Lonchura striata: one gene and its partners. The protein of the gene in region 4 purifies or fractionates together with the protein of the main gene of each other region. This does not show direct contact. Links are inferred from orthologs where the notes say so. Each region holds a gene or a part of one and is shown on either strand. Other genes may lie near its edges.

Region 1 (7,209 bases), about 1.4 Mb from region 4:
TCCACGATGCCTGGGCACCGAGTCAAGGAGTGCCCGAAGTGGGCTGGTTGCCCACATGGATACACAAACCCCAAGCCTGCCAAGGGGCCCCTGTATTCTGCCTCTTCCCAAAATCTGATTAGCAAAGAACTGCAGGCTGGATGGAAAAGGAGACATGGCAGGAATGTGCTGTGAAGCACACACACAAGGTTTCTCTTTTCCATGTGGTTTTTTGGTTCTGTGATGCTGGGCAGTGTTTTCAGGAGCACTCAGAGGAGCACGAGGGACAAGGAGTATTTCTGGAAGGCAGCCTAGAAAATGAACTGAGCCTGCAGAAATGCAGATTCACACAACACAACAGGCTTTCTAAAACAAAGCCTCTTAGAATATACCTTGCAAAAAGGGAGACAAAAAGACAAAAGGAAAATCCTTTACTTAATTTCTCATTTGCAATTTGAGAAAAGCCAATGTGAATGCAAAATTCAATCCCAAACAGTCCTGATTTTTGCAGAGGAACAAGCACTGGGACTTTGCTATTTAGTACAACCTGAGAACTGCAACTACCTCCAAAGGGCCAAAAAAAGGATATTAATGGTTTCATCCAGGTCTTCCAGGTCCCACTCGATGCTTCGCAGGTTGTTCCTGAGCTCATTAGTAGTCCAGTCGATTTCTTCTCTTGTGGCAATGGAGGGATCTTGCAAGAGCTCTGTCCACCTCTGGAAGAGCCCCTGGGCAGTGTTCACAGCTTTCTGCACCTCCCTGCAGGTGAGTGAAGAGAAGCCAAGAATTATCACTAGCTGCCCTGCAGCAGTGACACTGGGACAGCCCCGTGTCCAGCTGAGCAGGAATGCCACAGCTTCCTCCCAAACACCCCTCCTTCCAACAACTGCGTGTTTATTTTGTAAAATAAAGATCTGCCCTGAATCTCACTGCAGCATGAAGTTATTCATGAAGGGACCTATTTCTTCAGGGGAAGCTGCTGAGTGTCACCCAGGCAAGCCAGGGCAGAGGGTCTGAACAAGGCAGCTCTTTGGCAATCCACACTTTGCATTCCTCTCTCTACAGTTTTCCTCTCAAGGCCCTTAAGTACCCATGTAAGATACCCCAAGGGCACACAGAATTACAGGAACTGTCCCCGCAGCACAGCCAGGCAGACTGTTGAATGCAGAACTGTTTATTTTAATTCAGCATTTAAAAAAAATACACAGGCCTACTACGCTGGCTTAGGAAACACAAGTTTTTTCTGCTGCTCTAAGCTCTTTTGGAGACGAATGCATTCACAGCGGGGGAAGGCACTGCTGACACATCTGGTTTGGGGCAAGCAGGTTTGTAAATTTGGGTCACAGACTCTCAGTGTGGCTATGTGCATTTACAAACTCTGCGGTCCCAAGCTCTGAACTGCTCCCCCAGGTTCACCGGGGAGATCAGATGATGTGCTGGTGTCCAAGGAGGCCACCATGAGCTTGCACACAGCAGTCAGGTGTTTCACCCCAGTGAAGGAAAGCAGGGGAGGCCCAGGGCAGATGAACTGACGTGCCAGGACTGCACCTCTGTAAGTTCCACCAGGGCCTGATCCAGCTGGTCCTCCAGTTGCTGTCTAAGCTGCAGTTTCTCAGCACTCTGATGCATGTCCCTCCTCTTCTCACACGCCTACAGCTCCGAGTCTGCCACTCTGAGTGCCCTAAAGCCAGCAGCCTGCACTGAGGATCTGGAAAAATTCATTCCCTCCTCTACTTGCCAGCACAAGTTTTGATTTTATTTGGCTGGGTTTGTTTTTCCCCACACTTGTGGAAGTCCCCAGCAGCAAGAATGTAAAGCAGAGCTGGGTGTCCTCTGATGGGAGGAGTTACAGACACCAGAAAAGCAAACTAGTAGCAATTCTGGTGGCTACACCACCGGCAGCCCCTCCGACCTGCCAGGTAATAATTAACTGTGGGAGCGGCAGCACATCCCCTTCCCCCTCCCTGCCCTTCCCCACCGCTGCAGGAACATCTCTGGAAAGTTTGACAGGACGTTTGCTCCCCACCCATGGCGACTCCTACACTTTCCTCTAAGCACGAGTTTATCCTGGTGAAGGGATTCATTTTCCCTGGCTGTACCAATATCCATTCCCACACTTCTTCTCACATGGCTCTCCCAAAACACCCCACCAGGAGCCCCTCTGCTGCTCCTTGGGGCTGTCTCGCTGTGACAAGGGGCAGGAGAGCAGCCCCCAGCACAAGCTGAAGGTGGCCCGAGGGCAGTGTTCAGTGATGGAGCTGCTTTCACAGAATCACAGAATTGCTGGTGCTCTGTGGGTCATCCAGTCCAAACCCCCTGTCATTCACTGTCACCTAGAGCAGGGATACCTCCAGATGGGTTTGGAATGTCTGCAGCAAACTCCATGAAGCCTTTTCCAGTGCTCTGCCACCCTCACTGGAAAGAAGTTCTTCCTCACCTTGAGGTGGAACTTCTTGAATTTCAGTTTATGGCCTGTTGCTGTAAAGGGTCTGGCACCATCCTCATAACACGCCTTAGAGACATTTGTATGGAGTGATGAGATCCCCTCTGTCTTCTCTGGGCTAAACAGGCCCAGCTCGTCTAGTGTCTCCTCACCAGAGAGATGCTCCAGACCCCAAATCATCTAGGTGGCCTCCACTGGACCCTCTGCAGTAGCTCCAACACAGCTCCTTTCACCCTATTAATGACAATTTTCCTTCGGCTGGTATTTCCCTGCGTTCAGGCTCTTCGCTGCAGGCTTCCTCTCACGGCCATTGTTTATCCCACAGCTCGCTCCCTGCTCCCTGCACCTTTCCCACTGTCCCCAAGCCGCACCTGCAGCCAGGCCCGGGCCCAGGCCTCACGGCAGCGCCCCCGCACCGGCGAACAGGCCCCGGACCGGCGCGGAGCCCTCACAGCCCGGGGGCCGCCGCCATCTTCCCCCCCTCACAGACCCCCGCCGCCGCTCGCCCCCGCTCCGCCGGCCTCCCGAGCCTCGCCGCGGCCCTGCCCGCCCCCTCCGCGCCGCCGGCGGGTTACGCGTCCCCGCGGCCGCGTCCCGGCGGGCGCGGGGCGCGGGGCTCACCCCTTCACCACGAAGAAGGGGTCCTCCATCGACATGGCGCTGCCGCCGCCGCGCGCCTCGGCCGCCGCCAGGCCCCGCCCGGCCCGGCCCCGCCCGCCCGCGCCCTCCGCCAGCCCCGCCCGCCGGGGGCGTGGCCGGGTGACGTCAGCGCGCACGGCGCCGCGGGGCGGGAGCGCTGAGGGGGCGGGAGCGCTGAGGGGGCGGGAGCGCTGAGGGGGCGGGAGCGCTGAGGGAGCGGGAGCGCTGAGGGAGCGGGGGCGCTGAGGGGCCGCGGCTTCGTCCCGGTGCTGCCCGGGCAGTCCCGCAGCTCCTCCCGTAGCTCCTCCCGCAGTGCCCCCTGTCCCTCCCACCTGAAGGAACCCAGGCCTGGTTCAGGAGTTACATGTGGTGGAAAAGTCTCTCTTCCAACCCGTGCTTCCAAAGAAAACTCAGCAGTCTCTGCTGTCCGGTCTCAAGGCAGTTTATTGCGAGTTATCTAAAAGATTTTCTTCTCTGCTGCTGTGGTTTGCTCAGAGCTCAGGCAGAGGCACACACACACCCTGACATCCTCTCTGACTCCCGACTGCTTCTTCTCTCCCCGCCCAGGGCTGCTGCTCTCGTTTATATGGTACATTGCGTGTGACATGTTTACAATTTTTCCCAATGCCCATTACCTATATTAAATGGTGATTTTCTATCTTTTATATGGTACATTACATGTTACATGGTTACAGTTTTCCCCCAATGCCTATTACCTGTATTAAATGGTGCTTTTCTATCTTTTATATGGTACATTACATGTTACATGGTTACAGTTTTCCCCCAATGCCTATTACCTGTATTAAATGGTGCTTTTCTATCTTTTATATGGTACATTACGTGTTACATGCTTACAGTTTTTCCCCAATGCCTATTACCTATATTAAATGGTGCTTTTCTACTCTAAACCAATCTGAGAGTGCCAACATCACCAAGAACATGGAGGTAAGGAAGAAGAAAGAGGAGGAAAAGGACCGGCCTGCATTCCTCCATCTTAAAACCTCTGACCCCCATGTACAGAACAAAAAACCCCCATGTACAGGTGTTAAAACCCGCTTGTACAATACTAAAAAATTCTCCCCTCTACTTTATAACCACTTCTACTATAACATTTAAACTTTCGTGACTTCTTGTTCTTCCTGCAAGGTTGGTAACTCATTCCATGGCTCAAACCCAAAATCACAGCTGTTTCCAGCTGCCTGCCAGGGTCTCAAATGCTTCTGACCGGGGCCTGGAACCTCCAAAAATGTCTGAGGGACATTTTGAGTTCCCACAGCCACCCAGCGCATCACGCCCAGCATGGCTCAGGGTGGAAGGGAACTCGGCGGTGCCGCCTCCCTTCTCACCCCCGAGCACGTGGCACGGGTTGTGTCCCCATGGACCTCTCTGGGCCATCTGTTCCATTGCCCTGAAACGTAAATTTTAAGGGGTTTAGAGATTTTAGAGGAGCTAAGATTTTAGTTAGAGATAAGCCCTACTAGAGTTAATTAAAATAAATGAGTAGGCCTTGATGAAGTTAAGAGTTAGCAGTTGACTAATAATTGATTGCTTGTCAGCACAATGTTGTCGCCCTGATTTTTAAGATTTTCTTAAGCCTTCTGAGTTTACATTCTGTTAGAGAACTTTCTCACACAACTTTCTGCAAACAACCTATTGTTTTGCATTCCTTCACAGAGGTGGAGAAACTTGATGTACTGGTAGTTTGTCCAATGTCATTGGAGAGGTGGCACCTTCACCCTCCAATCCACTGTCACCTTTGGAAAAGTATAAATGCTGGAGTCAGAAAATAAACTTCCTCTTTTTCACCTTTGCAATAGCAGCGACTCGCATCGTGCTTTTACGTGTCCTATAGTGACACAATGTTTAGTTAGCTGGGTTTATAATGAAGAATACAGAGACTGACAAACAGCTTTTAGGAACATAAGACAATTGTGGGCCTCGTCTGTTCTGAAACCAATTGAAGACAAGGAATGGGAGTTCTACCAAGATTCATTTGTCATATTTGCATTGAAAAGGTAGAAAGGTCAGAAGGAGGAAGACTTCATTGACTTCCTCATTTTGGGACCCCTCCCCATGAAAGGGACACCGACCCATTTCAAGGGACAAACCACGCGTGCTGAATGGCTTTTGGAGTGATTAGCATACAAAGCGAGGAATGGGATGTACCAAAATGATGAATATGTATTTGTATTTTGTGTATTCAATACTTGTATGGATAAAAAGGCTCTGTAACCACCTGGAAGGTGCAGTGTGGATTTGGGAGCGATCCCGCACAAAATAAACACACACCTTTAACTTTATACTGTTAGAGAGTTTTTGTCCTTGACTGTTGGATATCAGTACTAGATCAATATCCACATTTTTTTAATAAATCAGCCCTGTGAAAAATGCATATTATATGGCTCTATGCAGATAGCTGCTATATGTATTACGCTATATTGATTAGTTGTGCTTTTGTAGTTAATATGAAGACTTTAGGAGTTAAAAAAAAATAAAGACTCTGTATGTGGGGGGGAAGGTTTTTTCTGGTTTTTTCTTTTTTTTTTTAGGAATGAGACACTCACTTCGAGGAACACCTAAATCTTCCAAAGGAGAGGAATTTATGGCTTTTTATCAGAAGAAACTAATTTCTTCAGGCCTTGTTCAGAACCAAAGATGCCAGGGGGATTAAAGGAAACATACGTCAGAGTTTCTTGCTTAGAATAGAATGTATGCATAACCATGAAGGATGTATGAATATGCAACAAGTGTATTGGTTTAAGGGTGATTCCCTTGTTCACAAGACTTAGTGTCCGAGAGCATCTGGACGTTGTCGTAATTCTTTGCTTTTTATTGTCTTGTAATTGTCCTGACTCTAAACTTTATTACTCTAATTGCATTACTATTTTTATAACCATTTTATTATTAAACTTTTAAAATTTTTAAAAACCAAGTGATTGGCATTTTTCACAGCCTGGTTACTCCTACAGTGACAGAGCTTCCTTCTGTTCATGTGGAACTTGCTGAACATCGGTTCCTGCCCCTTTCCTCCTGTGTCCTGATGGTTGGCACCACCGAGCGGAGTCTGGCTCCATCTTCTTGGCAGCCCTTCCTTAGAGCCCAGAGGTGCACACAGCACCCCAAAAATGCTCTCATCAGGGCTGAATAGGGCTGCAGGATTGCTGAGTCCAACACTTCTCTCAGCAGCCCTATAATGACAGAGGTGGTTACACGTTCCTGTGTTCCCCTTGCCACAATGGTCCACAGTCCTTAGCACCAGCGAGACCATGCAGAAGGTGGTGTGTGTGCCATTCTTTGGGTTATATGGATTAAAGATAATAATTTTTTTATTTTGGAGAACTAAAAGCAGCCTGCTCAGTGCAGAGAGGAAGTGAGGTAAGGTGTTCGAGCACCATCTTCTCACACACCTGCAGTTAGCAGCAGTGTTGTTCATGTCCGGCTCCTCTGTTGGGAAGGAATTTTGTGCTTTATGCTAAAGCCAGGAGACTAAACCCCTTCCTTCTCACAAGATTTGCAGTCTTTCAAACCTCATATAAACCAGCCAGCTGGCCTCCTTCACCCGGTTTCACAGAGCAAAACCTTGGCACTGTGGGGCCCTGTCCCTGGCACGGGGTGCCCGGCAGGAGTGGCCCAGGCAGGCTGTGTTCCCAGGCAGTGAGGGAGGAAGCAGGAGGGAGTGACAGGCAGCCTGCTCGGCTCCTGCTGCCCTTCCTGCCCTGCAGAGGCACAGGCACGGCTTCCTTCCTCCCCTTCTGTGGGGTGAGAACAGCCCTGTGTCGCTTGGATGCTGTCCATGCCCGGGTGGGGATCCCTCATTCCCACCTCTCTCAAATCTCTGGGCTCTTTAGGAGCTGAGCACAGGTAGCCCTGGGCTTGCAGCAGCTGGCAGGAGAGGGATGGTGCCTGCAGAGCTCTGGGAGATGTCCCCATCCACATACACACAGCCTTACTCCCACGTGAGTTGATTTTGCAGAGGCTTGGCCAGGAGGAATCCCCCAAATTTTAAGCAAAGAGCACATCCTGGCCTGTGCTTCCCAAAGGTGGCAGTGGCCCAGCATCCCGAGCAAAGGCAGGGAATGGGCACAAACCCCATTTGCAGTGGTGCCTCCTCAGCATGGGAACAGGAGAGCCAGCTTTTGCAATCCCAG
Region 2 (7,647 bases), on a different chromosome or scaffold from region 4:
CAGGGGTCCGCTCCAAACCCAACAGTTCTGGGGTTCTGTGAAATGCAAAATCCCCACCTATACATGACCCAGCCTAACAAACTAACTTTCAGACAAGAAAGCGACAGTGAGGCATAGATACCCTCAAGAGAAGTCAGTGGTGCTGAGAGCTTGTGCACTCCTTTTCCTCATCCTTTTTAGACTAACAGAGCTGTTTCTACCAGCCTTGCTATTTCAGTATCTTAAGCTATCACTGCTGCAGAAAAACTTCATTATGCTGTGTTGCCACTTTTACATTGTTTTAAAGTTACTTCAATTATTAGTGCTCTGTTTAAAAAAAATAAAAAGAAAATGCCAAGTGTTGCTTTTAGTTTCAAAACCCCCTGCCCCAGACCTGAATTTTTCTACTCATGATAGTCCAAAGATTTCACAATACTGGCACAAATGATCTTTCGAGAACAGATAGCAATGTGCACCTCACATTTTGCCTTTGTCAATTTGAAATCTTGTTGTAGCACAGAAAGGTATTTTTGACCTCCTTCTCCCTTATCTCTGATATTTTCCCACTATTTTCTTTGTGTAGGCACTCATGATCATGAAACCACACAATGAATCACATCAAACCATTAGGTTACCTGAAAAGCAAGTACATTTTCTCTCCCCAGTCCCTCTACCTTAGAATTATTTTCTGACAGATCAAGAAGCTGATCCCCTATATTCTGCAGCAGCACAGATTTTATCATTACTGAAGTGCTGGGCTCAGCACTTAAAACAGCAGTACAAAGATTGATCCAAATCAATCATGAAATCTAAGCTATCTCATCATGCAGTGAGAAGCAAGACCAAGAAGAATCACCTTTATACAGTTCCACAGGCAACTGAATTGAACTGAATTATCCCATGAGTTTAACAAGTTTCTTCCAATTCAGAGACACCCTCCTGTTTAACTTCTGCTTTCAGCCTGGAGTCTCTGCAGTTGATTAAATGTGTTGCTGGAGAAGCATCACATCCCTACAATGACCACTTCTTTTAAAAGGATGTTCAATGGCTTACAAGGGCAGCTAAGACTGCAATACGAGTTAATCAGTAATTAGCCAGTAATTAGCTTTTACATTCTCCAAGTGTATTCTCACCTAGGACTTCAGATTTCTATTAGATTATACAATGAGGAGTTTGTTGGCAACTCCTCATATACTGAGCTTGGCTTCCAGCAAGCAAGTCTGCACATATTTCACAGTTCTGTCAGACACAGGAAGGTCAGAAAAATTCAGTCAAGCTGGTGACAAACAGCACAAGGACTGCACTCTGTGTGCGGATGCTGAGGACTTGGCAAACAGCATTTGTGCCATAATGTCCAGACATTCTGTGGCTTATTTCTCTCTGCATGGGGAGATTCTTGCACAGCACCATTTCCAAGCCAGGCAAAGTCTGTCCTGCCCTGAGCCAGGTTCAGCAGTTTGCTTTGCTTAGTTTATCTCAGCCAACAGCAACACGTACAGTCTATGCAAAAAAAAGTGTCTAGAAAATGGAAGGAAGAATAAAATGAATAAAGTGTCTAGGAAATGGAAGAAAGAGGCTGGAGCTCTTTATTCTTTGGACAGTGGGTATGCACCAACACACAGAGCCCCTCAGTCAACAGCTTTCCATCTCCAAGCCCTTTTAATTTCAGGCTGTAGAGCCTTCCTCATACTTACTATGTGACAGCTAAAATTTCTTGAAACACTTCAATCTCTCCTCTAGCTGCAAGTCTGCTACATTACCTGAGCAAACAACAGTTTTGCCAGCTTTGCCACCAGTTTTCTGTACATGTTGTGTGAAATGCTCACTCCAGAGACTCCCCAAAGAAGTGAGTAATACTCAGCTGTGCACACTGTTTGCCTGCTCTTTCCCTTACAGGGGAAGAAGAAATGAGGACAGCCTTAAGGCTTCAATACAGCATCTTCTCTTGGCTTGAATGGAAAGCTTTTATTCGGTGTGTAATGAAGTTAACTACTGTAACATTAAGTCAGATGTTCTGAGTGTTCCCACCCACCTCCATAAAACTGTACGGCTATTTGTTTAACTTGAGATAACAGTGCACAGAGATAGGATGGCTGCAGGTCATGAGACAGCAGAAGCCTGTCCCATGAGAGAGAGAAGCTGAGCTGCTTAGAACAGGAGGCTCAAAGAAATCCCGTGGAAGGAAGAAGGAAGGAGTGTAAAGGGAAAAAATAAAAAGGGGGGAAAAGGGAAAAAAAACCCTCAACAAGCCATGCTACTTGGCCAACAATTCAGCAATGTCTACACCAAGGAGAAAAGAACATGACTGAGCAAAACATTTTCAGTAACATAAATGTGTTTGCATCATCAGAGAAGTCACAAGCTTTCTGAGGAACCAACATATTCAACTGATCTAGCATGGGCATTGAACAATTAGCAAAGCCTGTATCTTCAGAAAGGATTACATCAAAGACTCTCCTGGATGTTACTGCCTTCAGTGACCAGTACTGAGATTTCTATAGTTATCGTACAACACCGGTAACTTTCTCTAATGACAGGAAAAGTGCACCTGTGTCCTTAGGGACATCCTGCCGGGAGCAGGACGCTGCCAGCACAGCGAGGGGGAAAGCCGCCCGTTCCACGCCCATTGGAGATCCCTGGGACCGCGGCTGCTCCCGAGCCCGGTGACAGCCGGCGCTGCCCCGGAGCCCTCACTGCGGGCACGCGATGCCAGCGAGCGGCCGGACTGCCCGAGGTGGGAAGGGGCGGCTCGGCGGCAGGCACAGACACCCACCGAGAGCGTTCACCGCGGCTGCAGCCGGGCTGGGCATCACCACACCCGGTGCCTGCCGTGTGCCCGGCCCGGCACCGCTCCGGCGAGGCTCTGCCCATCCCGGCCCCCACCGCACCCTCACGCTGCCGGGCCGGGCCGCCCCGTCCCTCCCCGGCCGCGCACTCACTGTACTGCGCGATGCGCTGCACGTTGCCGCTGCATGTCTGGATGATGCCGCCGAAGTCGCGGGGCGGCGGCGGCGGCGCCCCGGGGCCGCGCAGGTCCAGCGGCCCGTACGACATGGCCGGGCCGGAGCGAGCACCGGCCCCGCTGACAGCGCCCGCCCGCCCGCGCCTGCGCGGCCGCCGCGCCTGCGCGCCGGGGGCGGCCGCTGTGAGGGGAGAGCGGCGGCGTGAGGGCGCGGGCGCGGCGGGAGCTCACCCAGACCCGCAGGGAGCTCACCCAGACCCGCAGGGAGCTCACCCAGACCCGCAGGGAGCTCATCCTGCCCCACATGGAGCTCACCCGGCCCCACATGGAGCTCACCCGGCCCCTCATGGAGCTCACCCGGCCCCTCATGGAGCTCACCCGGCCCCACATGGAGCTCACCCGGCCCCTCATGGAGCTCACCCAGACCCACAGGGAGCTCACCCTGCCCCACCCGGGGCTCACCCGGCCCCACATGGAGCTCACCCAGACCCGCAGGGAGCTCATCCTGCCCCACATGGAGCTCACCCGGCCCCACATGGAGCTCACCCGGCCCCTCATGGAGCTCACCCGGCCCCTCATGGAGCTCATCCTGCCCCACATGGAGCTCACCCGGCCCCTCATGGAGCTCACCCAGACCCACAGGGAGCTCACCCGGCTCCTCATGGAGCTCACCCTGTCCCTCCTGGAACTCACCCAGACCCACAGGGAGCTCATCCTGCCCCTCCTGGAGCTCACCCTGCCCCATATGGAGCTCACCCTGCCCCACCCGGGGATCACCCTGCCCCACCGACCATCACTGCCATTGTAACCTTCAAACACTAAAACATCACCTAGCGCCACATTCCGCTGCCTCATAAAAACCTCCAGGAGTGGTGACTCCACCATCTCCATGGGCAGCCCCTTCGTTGGAAGAACGGTTTTTCTGGTATCTCATGTGAATTTCCACTGTCTCTGCTCAAGGCCATTTCCTCCTGTCCTCTCACTACAGGCATGAGAGAGAAGAGAAGAGAAGAGAAGAGAAGAGAAGAGAAGAGAAGAGAAGAGAAGAGAAGAGAAGAGAAGAGAAGAGAAGAGAAGAGAAGAGAAGAGAAGAGAAGAGAAGAGAAGAGAAGAGAAGAGAAGAGAAGAGAAAGAAGAGAAGAGAAGAGAAGAGAAGAGAAGAGGAGAAGAGAAGAGAAGAGAAGAGAAGAGAAGAGAAGAGAAGAGAAGAGAAGAGAGAAGAGAAAGAGAAGAGAAGAGAAGAGAAGAGAAAGAGAAGAGAGAAGAGAAAGAGACCAGTATCTACCTAGTACAATCTCTTCTTGGGGACTTGTAGAGTCCCCTTGTAGAGTCCCCTTGTGATCCCCCCTGAGTCTCCTCGAGACTAAGCAAACCCGCTTCTTCGTAAGACATATTTTTCTAGAACCTTCATGTGAAAAACGCCAATCACTTGGTTTTTAAAATTTTAAAAGTTTAATAATAATAAAATGGTTATAAAATAATAATACAATTAGAGTAATAAAGTTTAGAGTTAGGACAATTACAAGACAATAAAAAGCAAAGAATTACGGACATCTGGATGCTCTCACACTAAGTCACGACAAGCATGACTTGTGAACAAAGGAATCACCCTTAAAACAATACACTTGTTGCATATTCATATATCCTTCATGGTTATGCATACATTCTATTTAAAACAAGAAACTCTGTTGTATGTCAACTGTTCCTTTAATCCCCATGGTGTCTTTGAGTCTGAGCAGGACCTGAACAAATTAGCTTCTTCTGATAAGAAGCCATAAATTCTTCTCCTTGGGAAGATTTAGGTGTTCCTCAAAGTGAGTATTTCATTCCTAAAAAAAAACTTCCCCCACATACATAATCTCTATTTTAACATTATGTTGGAACCTGAAACTACATTTAACACACTACTTAAGAGAATTAATACAGCATAACTTTCTAACATTACACATATAATATTCATTTCAATATTTGTGAAAAGACAATCATAAAATTTGCATTTTTCACACTTCACAAGCCTTGTTGCCCTTCTCTGGACACTCTCCAGCACCTGCATGTCCCTTTTGGAGTGAGTGGCCCAGACATGAACGCAGCGCTTGCACTGTGGCCTCACCAAGGCTGAGTGCCGGCGCCTGGCCTGGCCCTGCCAGGACAGCCAGAGCTGCAGGCAGTGCCTGTCGGAATCTGAGGTATTGATGATTCCGAGATTGTAAAAATCTCTGTCTTTCAGCCCTGCTGAAGCCATAATTGGTCTGTGCTGGTTTCAAGGTTGTTTATTCTGTTTATCTCTAACATGTTCTGCTGCCCTGCCCAGCTCTGTCCTGCAGGGCAGCGTGTGGGGCTCTGCCCTCAGTGGGATGTTACAAACATTAAATACCAGAAACTCCCTGGGCTGGATTTACAATAACGTGCCAATATCTGTCACCTACGTTGGACAGTGTGTCCCCAGCCTGAACCAACAGAAAAATGCCAACACCACAGTGAGACATGGAGGGCATGAAGAAGGAGAAAAAGGACAAGGCACACCCAATTTCCTCCATCTTGTCCCCTTTGGACCCCTAGAAACCTAAAATTTTACTTTTGCACCCGTGCCACACTTAATTATGACTTATATCAAACACTCAGAGCTGGTAATTCATCCTGTGAGATTGAAAACTCTTTTCCATGGGCAGAGATCACAGCCAGTGTCTCTGGGGGCTCTGTCCAGGGGGGTTCCTGACCCCTGCCAGGGTCCCAGACCTGCCAGGGCAGCCAGAGGGAAGCTCTGGATTCCCACAGGTGGCAGGCTGGGTCTGGAACAAATCCTGCACCGTTTGGAATTTCAGGAGAAATCCTGCACCGCTCAGAATTTTAGAGGGTGGCAGCCCACTCCGAGCCATGGGCCCCTGGACACAAATGCTGCTCCTTCCCCTGTAAAAATAAACTCACCCCACAGTATGTTGATGTCCATTTAGAGGAGGCGTTTAGCAGTGCCAGGGCAGCCTGAGTTATTGGTGGTGGCAGCTTTGTTCTGGGAGAGATCCTGTGCTGTTTGGAACTTTAGGAGGTGGCAGCACACTCAGGGCACAGCCCCTGGACACGAACACTGACCTTTTTCCATGGGAAACGAAACTCACCATCCCAGGTTCCTGATGTCAGTTTGCAGGAGGTGCTTGGCACTACCAGGACAGCCCGAGTTGTAGATGGTGGCAGGTTTAGTCTGGGAGACATCCTGTGCCATTCAGATTTTTAGGACATGGCAGCCCAGCAGAGGCACTTCCCTGTCCCTGCTGGGTTCTTGGTCCAGGAAAAAGGAGCCCTGCCAGGGTGAGGGCTGCTGTGACAGCCTGGCCTAGGGTGAGGAAGAGCCATGCTTCCAGTACTGAGCAATCCCACCAGCAATAATGCAAATGTAAAGGATTTTAAGAGAAGATCCCTTTCTGCTCCCTGCTGCAGGAGTTGTAGTATTTTAATGAAAGTACATCCAATCTTTGAATAAAAAAACTGGGGTCATGCCCTGTATGTTCTTAAGAAATTAGTGTATGTGTGCGTAAAGTAGGAGCGTAAATATTTCTTTAAAAAATGCTTGTTACAACAAAAAAATTCTAATTTCAGAAGCATCCACATCAGGTCAAAATGATGGTAAATAGGGAGCAGGGCCGTGGATGAAACTTGTGTAATAGAGTAAGAGAAGGCTCCAGGGTGGTCTTATTGTGGCCTTCCAGTGCCTGAAGGGGCTCCAGTAAAGTTGGAGAGAGATTTTGAACAGGGGATGGAGGGACAGGGCAAAGGGGAATGGCTTCCCACTGTCAGAGGGCAGGGGGAGATGGGATATTAGGAAGAAATTCTTCCCTGTGAAGGTGGTGAGGCCCTGAAAAGTAAACTTTCCCATCTGCCCACCCAGATGCCACTCTGGGAGTCACACTCATACCAACCTGCTACATTAATGGAAGTGGGATGATGGGACAGGGGAGCTTATGGGGCAGGAAAGGAGTTTTGCAGGAGGATTTAAAGTGACAGCAGTAGCTTTGAGGGGATCCCCATGGTGCTGCTGTGCTTACAGTGTGTTCTGCTTCAGCAAGGAGGATTCCCAGGGCTCTGGCTTCTCGCTCTGTGTTCTGAGGGTGCACAGTGTGACGATGTCACCACTGTTACACATTTCCCACACGTTCCTGCATTTCTGGAGGAAACAGCATGGCTGTGGGAAGGATGGGGCCAGCACCTGCTTCTCAGAAGGGACCGGGTGTTGTGAACCACAGGACCCTCAGCACTCATCACCTAGGTCTTGGTGCTCTGCCCACAAACTCCCTACCCAGCATCCAGCACCTGGAAACCTCAAACCCCACAACCCACATCTCGCACTTGACACCCTGCACTCAGCACCCCACACCCAGCGCTCAGTACCCAGCACCTGGAAACCTCAAACCCCAAACCCCACAACCCACATCCCACACTTGACACCCCGCACTCAACACTACACACCCAGTGCTCAGTACCTAGAACCTGGCACCCCTCACCCGGCTCCTCCACACTCTGCTCCCTGTTCCCCACACTCCGTTCTCTGCACTCCTCTCCCTGCACTCCTCCCTCCGCTTCCCGCACTCTGCACTCCTCTCCCCGCACTCCATTCCCCGTTCCCCATACTCCTCTCCCCGCTCCCAGCACTCTGCTCCTCGTTCCCCGCTCTCCTCTCCTCGCTCTCCTCTTTCTCTGCACTCCTTTCCCCGTTC
Region 3 (7,219 bases), on a different chromosome or scaffold from region 4:
TTTCTCAACAGACATTTCTGTTATGAAAACACCTCTCTCCTTGCTGGAACCTTGTTTAGAGTAGAATCAAACCCTGCCAAATATTCCTCTCTACCTGTTAATGGATGAAAGGAAGCTGGAAAACGCAGGCCATGGGACAGATGATTTTATGGAGGAGTCAGTCACCCGTGCAATGTTTCCACAAACACAACCCCGGAGAGTTCCAGCCCCAGAAAGGCTCCAAACAGCACCAGCCCCATGTTCCATCGGGGTTTGGGCTCCTCAGAGGTGCCACTGATGGCAGCAGAGAACTTTGCCCTCCATAAATACAGACTGAGCAGCAAGTTTTTATTGGTCTTCTGTTGTTGAGGAGTATCTGTGCAATTCTGACACTTCACCATCCTGAAAGCAGGAATTTAATCTGCACCTCCAAACACTCCACAGCCAGAGAAAATCCTGCTCCCAAATCCCACTTATTGGGGTTTCTGAGACCCCTGCTCAACTCCTGCTGAAGTGAGGCAGCCATTCAGCAGCACTGGTTATTGTGCACAGCCTACACACTCTTCCTCAGAATTTCTTCCTAGGAAACATTTCAAAAATGACATTTGATTTGAACACCTCTCAGCAAAGTGAGTGGCCCAGCAGATCCAGTGATCAGGCACTGCATTACAGCCCTGATACAGAGAGGGGGAGAAAAAGCACTGCACCTTTGATTATGCCAATTATTAAAAACTACCAACTCAAGGGCTTGCAGCAATTTTCACCTGAACACAGCCAAGGGAGCAGGTAATGACTCAAAGCTGCTCCTGAAGGAAAGGAGCCCCAGGGAAAGCAGTCTCCTGAAAACCCTAACTTTATTTTATTTCTTACACAGGGAGTGTGAAAACGTGGAGGACACAACATTCCTGGGGAAGCTCCAACTGCTGCTTCTCATTCCTGTTAACTCTGGGCTTGCATTCTGTGAGAAATGCAGCTAAAACACGGCTGCAAGATTCCTGTTCCCTCTGACCTGCAGGCACTGCAAAAGGCAGGAGCCAGCCCTGGGGGAGGAACATCTGCTCCCTGCTCACAGACAGAGGGCACAGAGCAGCTGCTGAGCACCCCAGAGCCTCTGGACAGCTCCATCCCAGCATCCCAACACCCCTGAGCCACTGGACAGCTCCATCCCAGCATCCCAACACCCCTGAGCCACTGGACAGCTCTATCCCAGCATCCCAGAGCCTCTGGGACAGCTCCATCCCATTATTCCTGATCCCTGAGCTTCTGGGACAGCTCCATCCCAGCATCCCAACACCCCAGACCCTCTGGACAGCTCCATCCCAGCATCCAAGAGCCTCTGGACAGCTCCATCCCAGCATCCCAACACCCCTGAGCCACTGGGACAGCTCCATCCCAGCATCCCAACACCCCTGAGCCACTGGGACAGCTCCATCCCAGCATCCAAACATCCCAGAGCCTCTGGGACAGCTCCATCCCAACATCCCTGAGCCACTGGGACAGCTCCATCCCAGCATCCCAGAGCCTCTGGAACAGCTCCATCCCATTATTCCTGATCCCTGAGCTTCTGGGACAGCTCCATCCCATTATTCCAATATCCCTGAGCCTCTGGGACAGTTCCATCCCAGCATCCCAGAGCCTCTGGGACAGCTCCATCCTGGAATTCCTCCCCGCACCCCGGGAATTCCTCCTCGCATGCCGGAATTCCGCCTCCCGAGCCAATCCCGGCCCCAGCCCCGCCGGTCCCGCCCCCGCCGGGGCACCTTGGCCGAGCTCTCCCCGCTCCGCTGGCAGCGGCTCCGCTCCTGCAGCTTCTCGGCGATGTCCTGGGCCAGCTGGCGGGCGGCGGCCAGCTGCGGCAGCCTGCAGAGCGACAGCGGGATACTGGGATCGTGGCGTGGGATAATGGGATGGGATCCATGGGATGGGCTGGGATGGGATGGGATCCATGGGATAGGATGGGATGGGATCTCATGGGATCAGCCAGGATGGGCTGGGACCCACCCGGAACAGCTGGGATCAGCTGGGATCTCATGGGATCAACTGGGATCTCATGGGATCAGCCGGGATGGGCTAGGATGGGCTAGAACCCGCCAGGATGTGCTGCGACCCGCCGGTATAAGCCTCGGGAGGGGAAAGCACAACACCCCCAAAAAACCACACAGCCCCAAAGCCTGGGATGGGCTTTGGGAAAGGAGCCCGGGAAGGGCAGAGACAGCCCCCAAACACAAACACACCGGGATGGGCTTTGGGAAAGGAGCCCGGGAAAGGCAGCACAGACCCCAAATACACAACCACACCAGGATGGGCTTTGGGAAAGGAGCCTGGGAAGGGCAGAGACAGCCCCCAAACACAAACACACCGGGATGGGCTTTGGGAAAGGAGCCCGGGAAGGGCAGAGACAGCCCCCAAACACAAACAAACCGGGATGGGCTTTGGGAAAGGAGCCTGGGAAGGGCAGCACAGACCCCAAATACACAACCACACCAGGATGGGCTTTGGGAAAGGAGCCTGGGAAGGGCAGAGACAGCCCCCAAACACAAACACACCGGGATGGGCTTTGGGAAAGGAGCCCGGGAAAGGCAGCACAGACCCCAAATACACAACCACACCAGGATGGGCTTTGGGAAAGGAGCCTGGGAAGGGCAGAGACAGCCCCCAAACACAAACACACCGGGATGGGCTTTGGGAAAGGAGCCCGGGAAGGGCAGAGACAGCCCCCAAACACAAACAAACCGGGATGGGCTTTGGGAAAGGAGCCTGGGAAGGGCAGCACAGACCCCAAATACACAACCACACCAGGATGGGCTTTGGGAAAGGAGCCTGGGAAGGGCAGAGACAGCCCCCAAACACAAACACACCGGGATGGGCTTTGGGAAAGGAGCCCGGGAAGGGCAGCACAGACCCCAAATACACAACCACACCAGGATGGGCTTTGGGAAGGCACAGACCCCAAACACAAACACAAACACAAACACACGCACACCGGGTCGGGCTTTGGGAAGGCACACCGCGCCCCGCCCGGCCCCGCTCCCCGCACGCTCCGCAGCCCCCGCGGGGCGGCTCCCGGCCCGGCCCCGACCCGCAGCCCGGCCCGGCCCGGCCCGGCCCGGCCCGGAGCTCACCAGGGGTCCGGAGCCATCGCGGCCCGGAACCTGCCCGGAGCTTCCGCCGGATCCGCCCGGGCGCGCAGGCGCCGGGAGGGGACGGAGGGGAAGGGAAACGGGAGAGGGAAATGGGAGAGATGGGGAGAGAGGGGAGAGATGGAGAGATGGAGAGAGGTACCGGGGCTCGGGCCCGGGCAGCGCAGCCGGCCCCCGAGGGGCGGCAGTGCGGGGAGCGGCGCCGGTGGCGCAGCGGGGAGGGCAGGGCCGGTGCTCGGGGCAGGGGGGCCGATGTTCGGGGTTTGCAGGGACAGAGGGGCAGGTGTGCAGAGTGCAGGGACAGCTGCAGATGTTCGGGATAGAGGGGCAGATGTTTGGGGTGTTCGGGACAGAGGGGCAGGTGTGCAGAGTGCAGGGACAGATGTGCGGGGCGTAGGGACACGTGCAGATGTTCGGGGTTAACAGAGGTTCCATGCACAGAGGTTTGCAGTACAAGGTGCAGAGGTGTTTAGGCTGTTCAGGTGTAGATGTGTGCAGATGTGCACAGCACACAGCCACAGCTGTCCCCACCCCTCCCTGCTGCCACAGAAACCCAGCGCTGAGCGGTGGCACCGGTTCCCTCTCCAGCGCTGTCCCCTGTCCCTGCCCATCTGCGGGGACAGCCGCTGCCCATGCCGATGTCGCCGTGCCCCGGTCCCGGTGCCACTGGAGGTGTTGGCACTGTCGCTGTTTCGGCTCCGAGCCCTTCCCACCCCTGATCCACCGGGGTTTGCCCTCTCCCTTTGTTTTTGGGGGCGACCGGTGACGCAAATGGGGCACAAACCCGAGGAGTTTGACAGAGCCAGCGAGGCTTTGTCGCCCTCGTGATGCGGGGCCGTGCTGATAACGGCAGCGATGACGGCAGCGATAGGGACAATCATAACAATAGTGATAACGACATTGATAACGAGAACGAGCGCATCTCCTCAGCACGTTGTTCCCGTTCCGGGGCTGATCCCTGCTCTGCTCCCCCATTCCAGAACTGATCCGTGTTCTGCTCCCCCGTTCCAGAACTGATCCCCGCTCTGCTCCCCTGTTCCAGAACTGATCCGTGTTCTGCTCCCCGTTCCAGAACTGATCCCCGCTCTGCTCCCCCATTCCAGAACTGATCCGTGTTCTGCTCCCCCGTTCCAGAACTGATCCGTGTTCTGATCCCCGTTCCAGAACTGATCCCCGCTCTGCTCCCCCGTTCCGGGCTGGGCTCTGTCCCCTGGCCCGTCTCTCCGCACACCCGGAGATGCTCCCGCAGCCGCGGCCATCAAACATTCATGGCCTTCGGCTTGCGCTGCTCAGCCCGAGCCCCACGGCCTCTACATCTTTCATATTTCACAGGCAGGGAGGCAGGTCAGGAACAACCTGCAGCTGCTCTTATCACACCAGAAACAATCCGATTTTAAAGGCAAATAAACATCTTTTAAAAGCTTGGGATGCCTATAAAAGTGCCCGCTGAGCACAGCCCGAGCTGGGAGTTCTGCGGCAGCGCTGCGGGACCGGGCCGGTGTCCCGGGAGCCTCTCGCAGCTGCTGGAGCCGCTTTTCCTCCGGCTCAGCTCTTCCGTGCGTGGGCACAGCGCTCACTGCGCGTTCCGAGGCTGGCACCGATCGGTGCCAGCCACTGCCCGGGGCACACCGGGGCCGCCGGAGCCCACGGCCGGCCCGCAGCAGCCGCAGCCGAGCGGGAGCACGAAGGTTATCCTGGGGAAAATAAAGGGCTCGTTTACTGCTCGTGTTGCTGTTTGATGCTATCTCGGCCCACGGGGTGTTTACAGCCCCCGGCCGGGCCCGGCGCGGAACCGGGGCAGGAAGGGGCGATGCGGGCGCGGAGCTGCTCCACCCTCGCTGTGTTTACCCCAAATAAACCCCGCGGCCGCGGGCCGGCCGCACCTTAAGAGCGCGGGCAGGTGCGGGGCAGAGCGGAGCCGCGGGGTGGCCGGGCTGGCCCATGCTGCGGGTGGGCTCAGCCGGCCCCGCTGCCCCATGGCCGAGCCGGCCGCGGGCGAGGACGCGGGCACCGGGCGAGGTGAGTGCGCCGGGCGGGTCAGAGGGGCTGGGCACAGCCCGGTGCCTGCCCCGAGCCCCGCGGCTCGTCCGGGGCGGGCAGAGCCGGAGCCTCCGTTCGGCGCCCGGGGCCGGGCACCGGCGGGGCTCGGGATGATGCTCCGCGGTACCCGGGCAGCGCCCTGAGAGAGCCGAGGTGAACTTGGGGCGCAGACAGCCCCCGACTCAGCGCCGGTGCTGTCTCAGGCTGGTTCCTGCGGCCAGGAGCCCCCGTGACCGTGCTGGGGTCGGGCTGTGTCCGGGACAGGAGCGGCTCCGGATGCAGCAGCTCCGGCCCTGAGCCCGGCCCGCTGCTCCTGCTGGGCTCGGGCAAGCGCCGAGCTGAGCAGGAGAGCGAGAGCCGGAGCTGTGCCACCACGGGCTGTCCCCGTGTCCCCTTGGCTCAGCAGAGCTCACCCGGGCGGGCTCGGCTCGTCCCGAGCTCCCGCAGCCCCGGGGAAACGCCGCTCCCGTCTCCCGGCGGAGCTCGGGCTCGGCTCTGCCAGCGCCGGGCTGGGGCTGCCCGAGCCCTGCCCCGGGGCTGGCAGCGTTCGGGGGGTGAAAAGCCCCTCGCGGTGTGAGCAGCAGCCCTGACACCCAGCTGGGACCTGGCCCCACACTTCTCGGGGCCCGGAGCTGATGGAGAGGGCAAAGCCTGAAACGCTTCCCTTTGCAGGGGAGAGCAAAGAAATCCAGGACGGACGTGGCTGTGAGGCTCAGAGCACCCCGAGCCAGGCTGGGGCGGCGAAAGGTGCTCAATAAACGCTCTTTGCCCTGCAGAGATGCTCGGCTCGGCCCCGGTCACCATCGTGGTCACGTCCAAGGCCGACACCTGGGACATCGACACCTCCTCGTGCCGGGGCCGCGGGCCCTTCGTGGACTGGGACAAGATGCCGGAGCCGCGGGGGCCGGCGCCGGTGCCGCGGGACGTGCTGGGCAGGCCCCCGAAGGAGCTGAAGCGGCTGGCGAGGGAAGGCTGCTGGGCCCGGAGCCACGCGGGCCGGGCCCGGCTCTACCCCCGGCTCATCCAGCGCGTCTCCTGCCGCCTCGTCACGCCCGACGCGCCGGCCTACCGCGACGTGGCCGGCCGGCTCTTCGGGAAGCGCAGCGTCAGCTCCCACCCGCTGCCCGAGTTCCTGGAGGGCTGCCCCGTGCCCACCTACTGCCTCAGCCCGCACGGGGTCACGGCCCTGAAGAAGATCCTGGTGTGCGTGGGCGCCCTGTTCCCCGACATCACGCACAGCCCCCTGCTGCCGGCGCTGGCCGCGCTGCTGCTGCACTACAGCGAGGACGAGGCCCAGTGCTTCGAGAGCCTCTCGCGCCTCATCGCCAGCAATGCGCCCCACGCCGCCTACATCGACCAGTCCTTCCTGGCCCACCAGGCCTCCTGCATGACCTTCGGGGACCTGGCCAGCAAGCACTGCCCGGCGGCCCACAAGCTCATCGCCGGCGCCGCCGACAACGTCCTCGAGGTCTACTCGGAGTGGCTGTCGTGGCTCTTTCCCGGGCTGCCCTTCGGCTACGCCGTGCGCGTGCTGGATGTGTTCCTGCTGGAGGGCCAGAAGGTGCTGTACCGCATCGCCCTGGCCCTGCTGAAGCAGTTCCGGCTCTCGGCGGCCCCGGCCGGGCTGCAGGGCTCCGACGTCAAGGCGGAGCTGCAGGCTTTCGTCAGGAACATCGCCGAGCACGTGTCTGCGGACAAACTCCTGGAGAGAGCCTTCGGCATCCGCCTCTTCTCCCGCAAGGAGATCTGGCTGCTCCACATGGCCAACAGGAAGGCCTTGGTGGAGAGGGGCATCACCGTGGTGCAGAGAAGGTGAGGAGAGCTCTGCACTCCCCAGCTCTGGGGCCGAGCTGCCACAATGTGAGTTCCTGTGGAGAGCCCCCGGGGGAGCTGCAGGAACCTCCCAGAGCTGTGGCTGGGCTGGGCCCTCGCAGCCCCTGGGGGACCCTGTCAGGGGACACGGCACAGCCAGACCAGGGACCCTGTCAGGGGACATGGCACAGCAGAGCTGGGGGACCCTCTGAGGGGCACGGCACAGCCAGACTGGGGACCCTGTCAGG
Region 4 (7,217 bases):
AGGCCGAGACAGGCAAGAGAAGAGCTCCTGTTTTCTCCCAACAGGGAACACAGCACACACTGTAGGTGCTGTCCAGCAGAGGAGGATGAAGGGATGGACACTACCCCATCTCTACCTTTCTATGGAGGTGAGACCCCACTCCTAAACCCAATTCTCAGCTTTCTCACTCCCTCCAGATCATGCCCTAGAAGGGAGGACTGACTTCCTCCAAAGAGCAGTTCCTCTCTACCAACAGCATCCTCACACTCTGGAGGGAACAGAGATGCCCTGAAAACTCAGGGTGCAGCCCCTGCCCTCTGCCTCTTGTGGAGCTCAAGTGCCCTTCACCCCTCAAGATAACAAGCAAAGCCTAATGCTGATGGTAGCATGAGTCATCCCAGAGCTGTGCTGGCTTCTTCCTGGCATGGAAAAAAAATCCCTAACCAAGAGCCACACACAGGCTGCAAACAAAGAATAGTCTGAACAATGTCCAGGCAGCAGTACCCACACAGATCTCTGTCCTGCCTCCACAGAGATCAGCAAAGGAACAGGGCAACACAGACCAGAGGTCTGTGAGTTAACCCCACACTTCTGATTAAGTACCACCACCGCATCCTTCACAGGAAAAACTGGAGCCCTGAACAAGCTTCATCCAGGAAATGACTCGATGGCAGAAGGATTCAGAGTGTTCACTCCTTCCTTCATGCCCCACTCCTCCTCCAGCTGTACTGGTTTCCTGTTTTCCTGCTGCTTTGACCCCAGTGAGTCACGGCTCATCTCCAGGTCACCTATATCAGGTTTTTACCTGCAGAAGGGGATGCCAGAGGACCAGCTGCTGCCTGAACCTCATGGTCCCGGTGTGTTCCTGACCACTTACTTTCTTGAAACGTTAAGGAGCATGTTACAGGATGAGGTAAAAAAAAAGCCTCAAAAATAAAAAAATGTTACTAGGAAAGGTTAAAATTCAGGGTTAATGATGTAGAGAAAGAGCCTCACAAAAACATTGAACAGGTCACCACCAGAAAACAGCAAGGGCTTCAGAAACTCCAATAAGCTACTGTGGTGTAACCTGATCCCCTTCCCTCTGTCAAAACACAATTTCTTGACAGGCTGCATCAAAACTAAGATTTCCTTTAGCTGTGGATATGTGGATAGGACATACTATTTAGAAGAACACAGGCACAAGGAATGTTCATAAGATGACCTACACAGAAATACTCTGACAAGACAGCAGCAGGAGCTCACAGTGCCACAATAAATTATTATCTCTGTGACACTAAGCAACAGCAACTTACTGCCTGATCTTGTCATTCCTGGGTCCAAACCTGGGTCCAGAAGGCCCCCTCCTGCAGGCAGAAAAGAGCAAGCAGGTCAGGTACAATGAAAACATGTTTTTAGACCAGACCCAAATGATCTGAGGAGAGAACCAACGCCTTGTGCACAGTGTATTGTTTTCATACCTCCCATCAGTCCCTCCCACAGATCTTAGGATCCGTGGGATCTCTCCCTCTTACAAAAGGTCACACCTATTAATTCATGTTCAAGGCCAAAGCTCTGGAAGAACATCCCAAAGGAGTCAAAGGTTTTCATTCCCAAGCCCCCAGCCTCAGAGCTGCAGGCAGGTATGACACTGCACTCCAACTCACAAGAAAAAGTCTTCCTCTTCATCTGAGTCTTCCTCCAACAGGTTCCTCTGCAAACACAGAAAAAACATTTCATCAATAAGCAACCACCAATTCATACCCATATTTCCAGCTCTTAGGATGCAATCAGCATCCCCTGACTGAAGGAAGGCCCTCTCTGCTCAAGGGACAATCCCCAGCCCTGCACCCAAAATCATTAGATCACCCACAGACACTCTGGGCTGTCCCATCCACACGGGAAATTGGATCTACTGGATTTGGAGGACAAGGTTTCTCCTGTATCTGATGGCAGCAGGTGTAAGAGGAATGACCACAAGGGAACACACTGGCTTCCTTGGGCTGGAGGGCAGAGCAGTCTGGCAGCTCCTCTGTTTCACCCCAAAGGGCTACTTGGGGCTCCCCTTTGCTGATCCACTGCACTCCATGAGAGGATCCAAAACCTGTTTTTTAAGAGGAACCCCACAATCCCACAGAAGTCTGAATGTTGCAGACAAACACATTTTTGCTTAGGGTGAAAAACAATCTAGAGGGGGAGGTGACACAGTAAAGGTGTAGGCCCAGGGAGCAGCAGATGGTCCTTGGGGTGCCAACAGTTGCTGCTGGGCTCCCACCTGCAAGCCTGATACTCTGATGTTGCAGCTCACCTACATTTCCATCCTGGCACATTTGCTCAATTAATGAACATGCAACACCATGCAATAATTCCAGTCACTGCTTCCCTCAAGGGAGAAGCAGCCAGCTCGTGGCAGCTGTCGGGAGCTGCAGCAGCATTTCCGACCACAGCCTAAAGCGAACTGTAGCACAGCCTGACCTAGGCAGGTTAAATCCACTTTGTCCAAACCAGGCAACTGCCGGGACCTGTACTCAAAGCATGACATGTGAGGGGACCGTGATGACGGGAGAAAAAAAGTCAGCTGTAACGCACAGGGTGACTTCACTCAGCTCCTTCAGCCAACGTGGGCAGCAGAGCCAGGCCGTGTCCCTGCCAGGCTCTGCGGAAGGGCAGGAGGCCGGAGCACACCGGCATCTCCTGGCCACGGATGCGGCCTGAGGGAGCCGCAACAGGTTCCCAGAGCAGCCGCGCCGAGGCCGGAGTGACACACGGAGCGGGGCCGGCGCTCGGGCAGCCCCTCGCCGGCGGAACAGCGCTGTCACCGCGCTCCGGGCTGCGGGGCCCGCGGTGCGGCGGCACAGAAACGCGGCCGGGGCAGCCCCGCCGCGGGCACTCACCCGCTCGCTCTTCACCGAGCCCGTCACCTCGTCGTCGTTCAGGTGCCGCTTGAATTTGGGAGGCATGGCCGGTCCGTGCCGCGGGGCTGTGCCCGCGGGGAGAAGCCTGGAGGGGAGAGCAGGGAGCGCCGGGCAGGCCCAGGACGGGACCCGCCGCCCCCGCGCTCAGCGGGCCGGGCCGGGCCGGCGGGAAATGGCCGGTGCCGGAGAGCCCCGTCACCGCCGCCGCCCCGCCCGCCGCGCCGAGCGCCGAGCTACCGATGGCGGGCGGGCCGGGGCGGGGCGGGGCCGGGGCGGGGCGGGGCCGGGGCGGGGCGGGGCGGGGCCGGGGCGGGGCGGGGCCGGGGCGGGGCGGGGCCGGGCCGGGGCGGGGCCGGGCCGGGGCGGGGCCGGGCCGGGGCGGGGCGGGGCGGGCCGGGGCGGGGCGGGGCGGGGCCGGGCCGCCCTCGGCCGCTGGGTTCGGTTCGGGCCCCGGCCCCGAGCGGCCCCCGCGGGGTTCGGCCCCGGGCCCGCCCGCCCCGGCGTCACCGCTGGCACACGGCCTCAGCGGCTCCGGGGAGGCGGCGCGGCAGTGCCGGTGCCCCGCGGGCAGCTGGAAGGCTCCGGGTCGCCCGCCCCCCGCCGCCCCGAGCCTCTCGCTCTATAAATGCGGACGCCGGGGGCCGGCGCGCTGAGAGCGGCGGCGCCGGGGCCATGCTGGGGGCCTGGCTGCTGCTTTGGGGCTCCGTGGCCCTGGGCGGCCGAGCGGACACCGCCTTCCTCCGCCGCGCCCATGACGGCTCCGGGCACTGCACCTACTCCTTCACGGTCGCCAGCCCCGTGGAGGCCGCCTGCCCCGAGGCTGCCGGCGGCGCGCCCGAGCTGCGCGCCGAGCTGGCCGCCCTGGCCGCCCGCCTGAGCCGGCTGGAGAGCCGGGAGCGAGCGGCGGGGGGCTCGGGGCCGCGGGGAGCCGAGCCGGGGGGCGCACGGGACCCGCAGCGAGCGGCCGCGGCCTCCCGCCTGGAGGCTGCGTACGCTGAGCTGCTGCGGGCCAAGTCCCGGCTGGAGGAGGAGAAGGGGCGGCTGGAGAGGGAGAAAGAGGAGCTGGGCAGGCGGCTGGAGAGCAGCGCCCAGGAGATCAGCCGGCTGCGGGCCGCCCGCTGCCCCCCCGGCAGAGAGGGGCCCGGGCGGGACGCGCTGCGCGCCCCCGCCAAGGGTAAGTGCCGGGCCGGCAGCCCTGTGCGTCCCTGCCTGCCTCCTCCCCTCCGGCCGAGTCCCTCTGCGGCCCCGTGCTGTGCGCCACTGCTGCCCCCCACTCCTGGGGACCCCGCCGGGTTCAGCCCTGCCCGGGAGGTCGCAGCCCATCGCCCCATAGCTCTCTCCCCACCCCGCCTCATCCCATCCCTCATCCCATCGCCTGCCCCGCAGCAGAGGGGGGAGGTAGGGTACCGTGCTGATCTGGGCTATTAGCAGTTTCCCCCAAAGAGAACGGTCACAGATGTGCCCTGCTGCAGTGGGAGGGGGCACCGGGCTCCTGCCCAAAGCATGGGCATTTCTGCGAGCAGCAGCCCGGCACGGAGCCCCCCGAGGGCGGCGGCAGCAGGCAGGCGGTGAGGGGGCGGCTGAGCCCCGCTCACGCTGTGCCCGACCCCGCTGCAGCGCCGCGCTGGGAGCCGCAGCCGCTCAGCTTCCAGGAGCTGCAGTCGGAGAGGACCGAAGTTCCCGTGTCCCGGCTGCTGGAGGAGACGGCGCTCGGCCGCCCGGGCAAGGAGGACGCAGGTACGGGCTGCCGGGCCGGCCCCACGTCCCGCGGCTGACGAGGGGCTGGCGGTGACCCCTGTCTGTCCCGTCCTGTCCCCGGGCAGGCTGCGGCCAGCTGGTGTGGGTGGGAGAGCCCGTGGTGCTCGGCCGGGCGGACTCCATCGCGGGCAAGTACGGCGTGTGGATGAAGGACCCCGAGCCCGTGCCGCCCTTCACGCGGGACAACACCTGGCGTGTGGACACCGTGGGCACCGAGGTGCGCCAGCTCTTCCAGTACGAGGAGGCCGAGCAGCTGGCCCGGGGCTACCCCGCCAAGGTGCACATCCTGCCGCGGCCCCTGGAGAGCACGGGCGCCGTCATCTACCGCGGCGGGCTCTTCTTCCAGCCCCGCCAGTCCCGCTCCGTGGCCCGCTACGACCTGCGGGGAGAGACCATCACGGCCGAGAGGGAGATCCCCGGCGCCGGCTACCACGGGCAGTACCCCTACTCCTGGGGGGGCTACACCGACATCGACCTGGCGGTGGATGAGACCGGGCTCTGGGTCATCTACAGCACCGAGAAGGCCCGGGGAGCCATCGTCCTGTCCAAGCTGGACCCCGAGACGCTGGAGATCCGTCGCACCTGGGAGACCAACATCCGCAAGCGGGGGGTGGCCAATTCCTTCCTCATCTGCGGCACCCTCTACACCGTCAGCAGCTACTCGGCGCCCAACGCCACCGTCAACTTTGCCTACGACACTGCCACGGGCACCAGCCGGGCCCTCGGCATCCCCTTCGAGAACCGCTTCCGCTACCTCAGCATGCTGGACTACAACCCTGCCGAGCGGCGGCTCTTCGCCTGGGACAGCTTCAACATGGTCACCTACCCCGTCCGCCTCTCCCGGGCGTGAGCCGAGGCTGGCGCAGCCCCCGGGACCTTCGTGCGGGCCTTGGCACCCTGCTTCCCTCCCCATGGCCCCCGGCACGGCCGGGAGCGCCGCCTCACACAGCCTCGGTGGTGCTGGGGGCCACACGCTGCCCAGCCACATCGCATTGTGCCCAAGCGCAGCAGAGAGATGAAGCACGGCTCCAGAGCCTGGCCGAGCCAGGGCAATGCCTCTCACCGGCCTCGGGGCGTTTCGGGTGGGTCACAGCTGTACCCAGCCCTGAGCTGCTCCAGCACCTCTCTGAGCACCCAGCCTACCCACCCTGAATGTGGAGCACGGAGGGCTCGGGCACGGTGAGGGCTGGGCAGAGCAGGTGGTAGAAGGGTTGTGCAGGAGGTTCCTGCCTTAAAATAAGCGTTTTTCCCTAGTTGTGAGCAGCGATCCCCTCTGTGGGGTCAGGGTTTGTTGTTTCCAGGCTTCAGCCTGCAGAGCTCTCATGCAGAGATCCCACAAGCTCCACTGATATCCCACACTCCCAGTGCCCAAGGGCATCCTGGAGCTCAGCCACCTCCAAAAATCATCGAGTAGGCTCAAAAGCAACAGAAAATACAGACACACATTGCACAAGCCTTGTTTTATTGAGGAAAAAAGCTGCCAAGAGAGCAGGGGTGAGGAGTGCTGGGAGAGCATCCTGCAGCCGGGTGGTCTCTTGGTACCCAGCCCTTCCAGCCATGTGCTTCAGCTTTACAGGCCACCCCAGGCCAGCAGCTCTCCCCACACCAGTCCAAAACACGCTGCTTTATCTATTTATTATAGGAGGGGAGGCTTCTTTCTCCCTGTGGCGCTTGGGGCAGAAGCAACCACATTCCCCAGGGGCTGCATAGGGTCCTGGCCCAATAAACATCACCCAGCACCTCTGCTGCCTCACACCTCATCTTTCCAAGCCTGTTTTCCAAGGAGTGTGGTGGGCTGGTACCCCTCTTGATGCACCGACAGGCTGAAGGTGCTGGTGAGGGGACCTGTAAAAGCCTTGAGCAGGAAAATGCCACATTTTGGAAGGCAGCTTCTGACAGCAACACAACAGGTACTGAGCAGTGGAAAAGGACAGAGAATGCAGTGTGACATTTGTGATGATCACCAGCAGCTACAGGGATTTTCAGTTGGATGCTTCACCCCACCGCTGTTCTCCTGACACTAACACTTGTAAGTGTAGCAGCACTGTATGTTTGCATATCACAATGAAGTATTTGGTTTATCCATCTTCCCCATGCTTTATTTTGGAAAAATACAAGATGGTTTTAAAAAGTGAGACAATATGGGTAAGATATTTCTGGTAAGCTGCAGGGGGGGGCAGCAAGTTGGTGCCCAGCATGAAGAGGGAGGAAGCTGAAAGACCCATTCCTGCTCCTGGGCAGGCCCAGAGCCAGGCTGGGAATCTCACCTGAGCCAGGGCCAGTGAAGGTGTCCCTGTGGCCAGTGCTGGCCCCAGGTTCCACAGCAAGGCTCAGCCCAGGAGGGTCAGGGGCACATCACCCCTGTCACTGTCACACACAGAGCTGGGGAGCCCTGGGGCCAGGGCAGGGGAGAGCCAAGCAGGCAGCAGCCAGGGCCAGCAGTGCCCGGCAAACCTGCCACCAAGGATGGGAGAAAGGCATTTCTGTCCCAAAAGAGGATGGGAGGCGGGGCTGGAGTCCCCCTTCACCCGGCAGCTGCCGGGGGCCAGCCGAGCCCCGGGGTGAGGCAGGGTTTGTGCAGAGCCC

The links.
Region 1: the proteins of VAMP4 (region 4) and STX6 purify together in Homo sapiens (co-immunoprecipitation; 5 studies listed by BioGRID and IntAct, counting the BioPlex papers as one, with this or other methods). This does not show direct contact. The link is inferred for Lonchura striata from reciprocal best matches to the Homo sapiens genes VAMP4 and STX6.
Region 2: the proteins of VAMP4 (region 4) and STX12 purify together in Homo sapiens (affinity purification with mass spectrometry; 3 studies listed by BioGRID and IntAct, counting the BioPlex papers as one, with this or other methods). This does not show direct contact. The link is inferred for Lonchura striata from reciprocal best matches to the Homo sapiens genes VAMP4 and STX12.
Region 3: the proteins of VAMP4 (region 4) and STX8 purify together in Homo sapiens (co-immunoprecipitation; 3 studies listed by BioGRID and IntAct, counting the BioPlex papers as one, with this or other methods). This does not show direct contact. The link is inferred for Lonchura striata from reciprocal best matches to the Homo sapiens genes VAMP4 and STX8.

What each region holds. Positions count from the first base shown.
Region 1 is NC_134611.1:2,047,221-2,054,429, reverse strand, and holds the start of STX6 (syntaxin-6), read right to left. Parts: upstream 3,127-7,209; 5' UTR 3,079-3,126; coding exon 3,044-3,078; intron 739-3,043; coding exon 569-738; coding exon of another isoform or gene 555-568; intron 11-554; coding exon 1-10. UniProt on the Homo sapiens protein: SNARE promoting movement of transport vesicles to target membranes. Targets endosomes to the trans-Golgi network, and may therefore function in retrograde trafficking.
Region 2 is NC_134628.1:5,437,232-5,444,878, forward strand, and holds the start of STX12 (syntaxin-12), read right to left. Parts: upstream 3,073-7,647; 5' UTR 3,034-3,072; coding exon 2,919-3,033; intron 1-2,918. UniProt on the Homo sapiens protein: SNARE promoting fusion of transport vesicles with target membranes. Together with SNARE STX6, promotes movement of vesicles from endosomes to the cell membrane, and may therefore function in the endocytic recycling pathway.
Region 3 is NC_134621.1:1,093,871-1,101,089, forward strand, and holds the start of STX8 (syntaxin-8), read right to left. Parts: upstream 3,165-7,219; 5' UTR 3,119-3,164; coding exon 3,102-3,118; intron 1,840-3,101; coding exon 1,740-1,839; intron 1-1,739. Other genes in the region: TBC1 domain family member 24, read left to right, coding at 5,096-5,138, 5,936-6,971. UniProt on the Homo sapiens protein: Vesicle trafficking protein that functions in the early secretory pathway, possibly by mediating retrograde transport from cis-Golgi membranes to the ER.
Region 4 is NC_134611.1:616,803-624,019, forward strand, and holds the start of VAMP4 (vesicle-associated membrane protein 4), read right to left. Parts: upstream 3,085-7,217; 5' UTR 2,919-3,084; coding exon 2,853-2,918; intron 1,673-2,852; coding exon 1,626-1,672; intron 1,326-1,625; coding exon 1,275-1,325; intron 1-1,274. Other genes in the region: MYOC (myocilin), read left to right, coding at 3,546-4,047, 4,491-4,610, 4,697-5,481. UniProt on the Homo sapiens protein: Involved in the pathway that functions to remove an inhibitor (probably synaptotagmin-4) of calcium-triggered exocytosis during the maturation of secretory granules.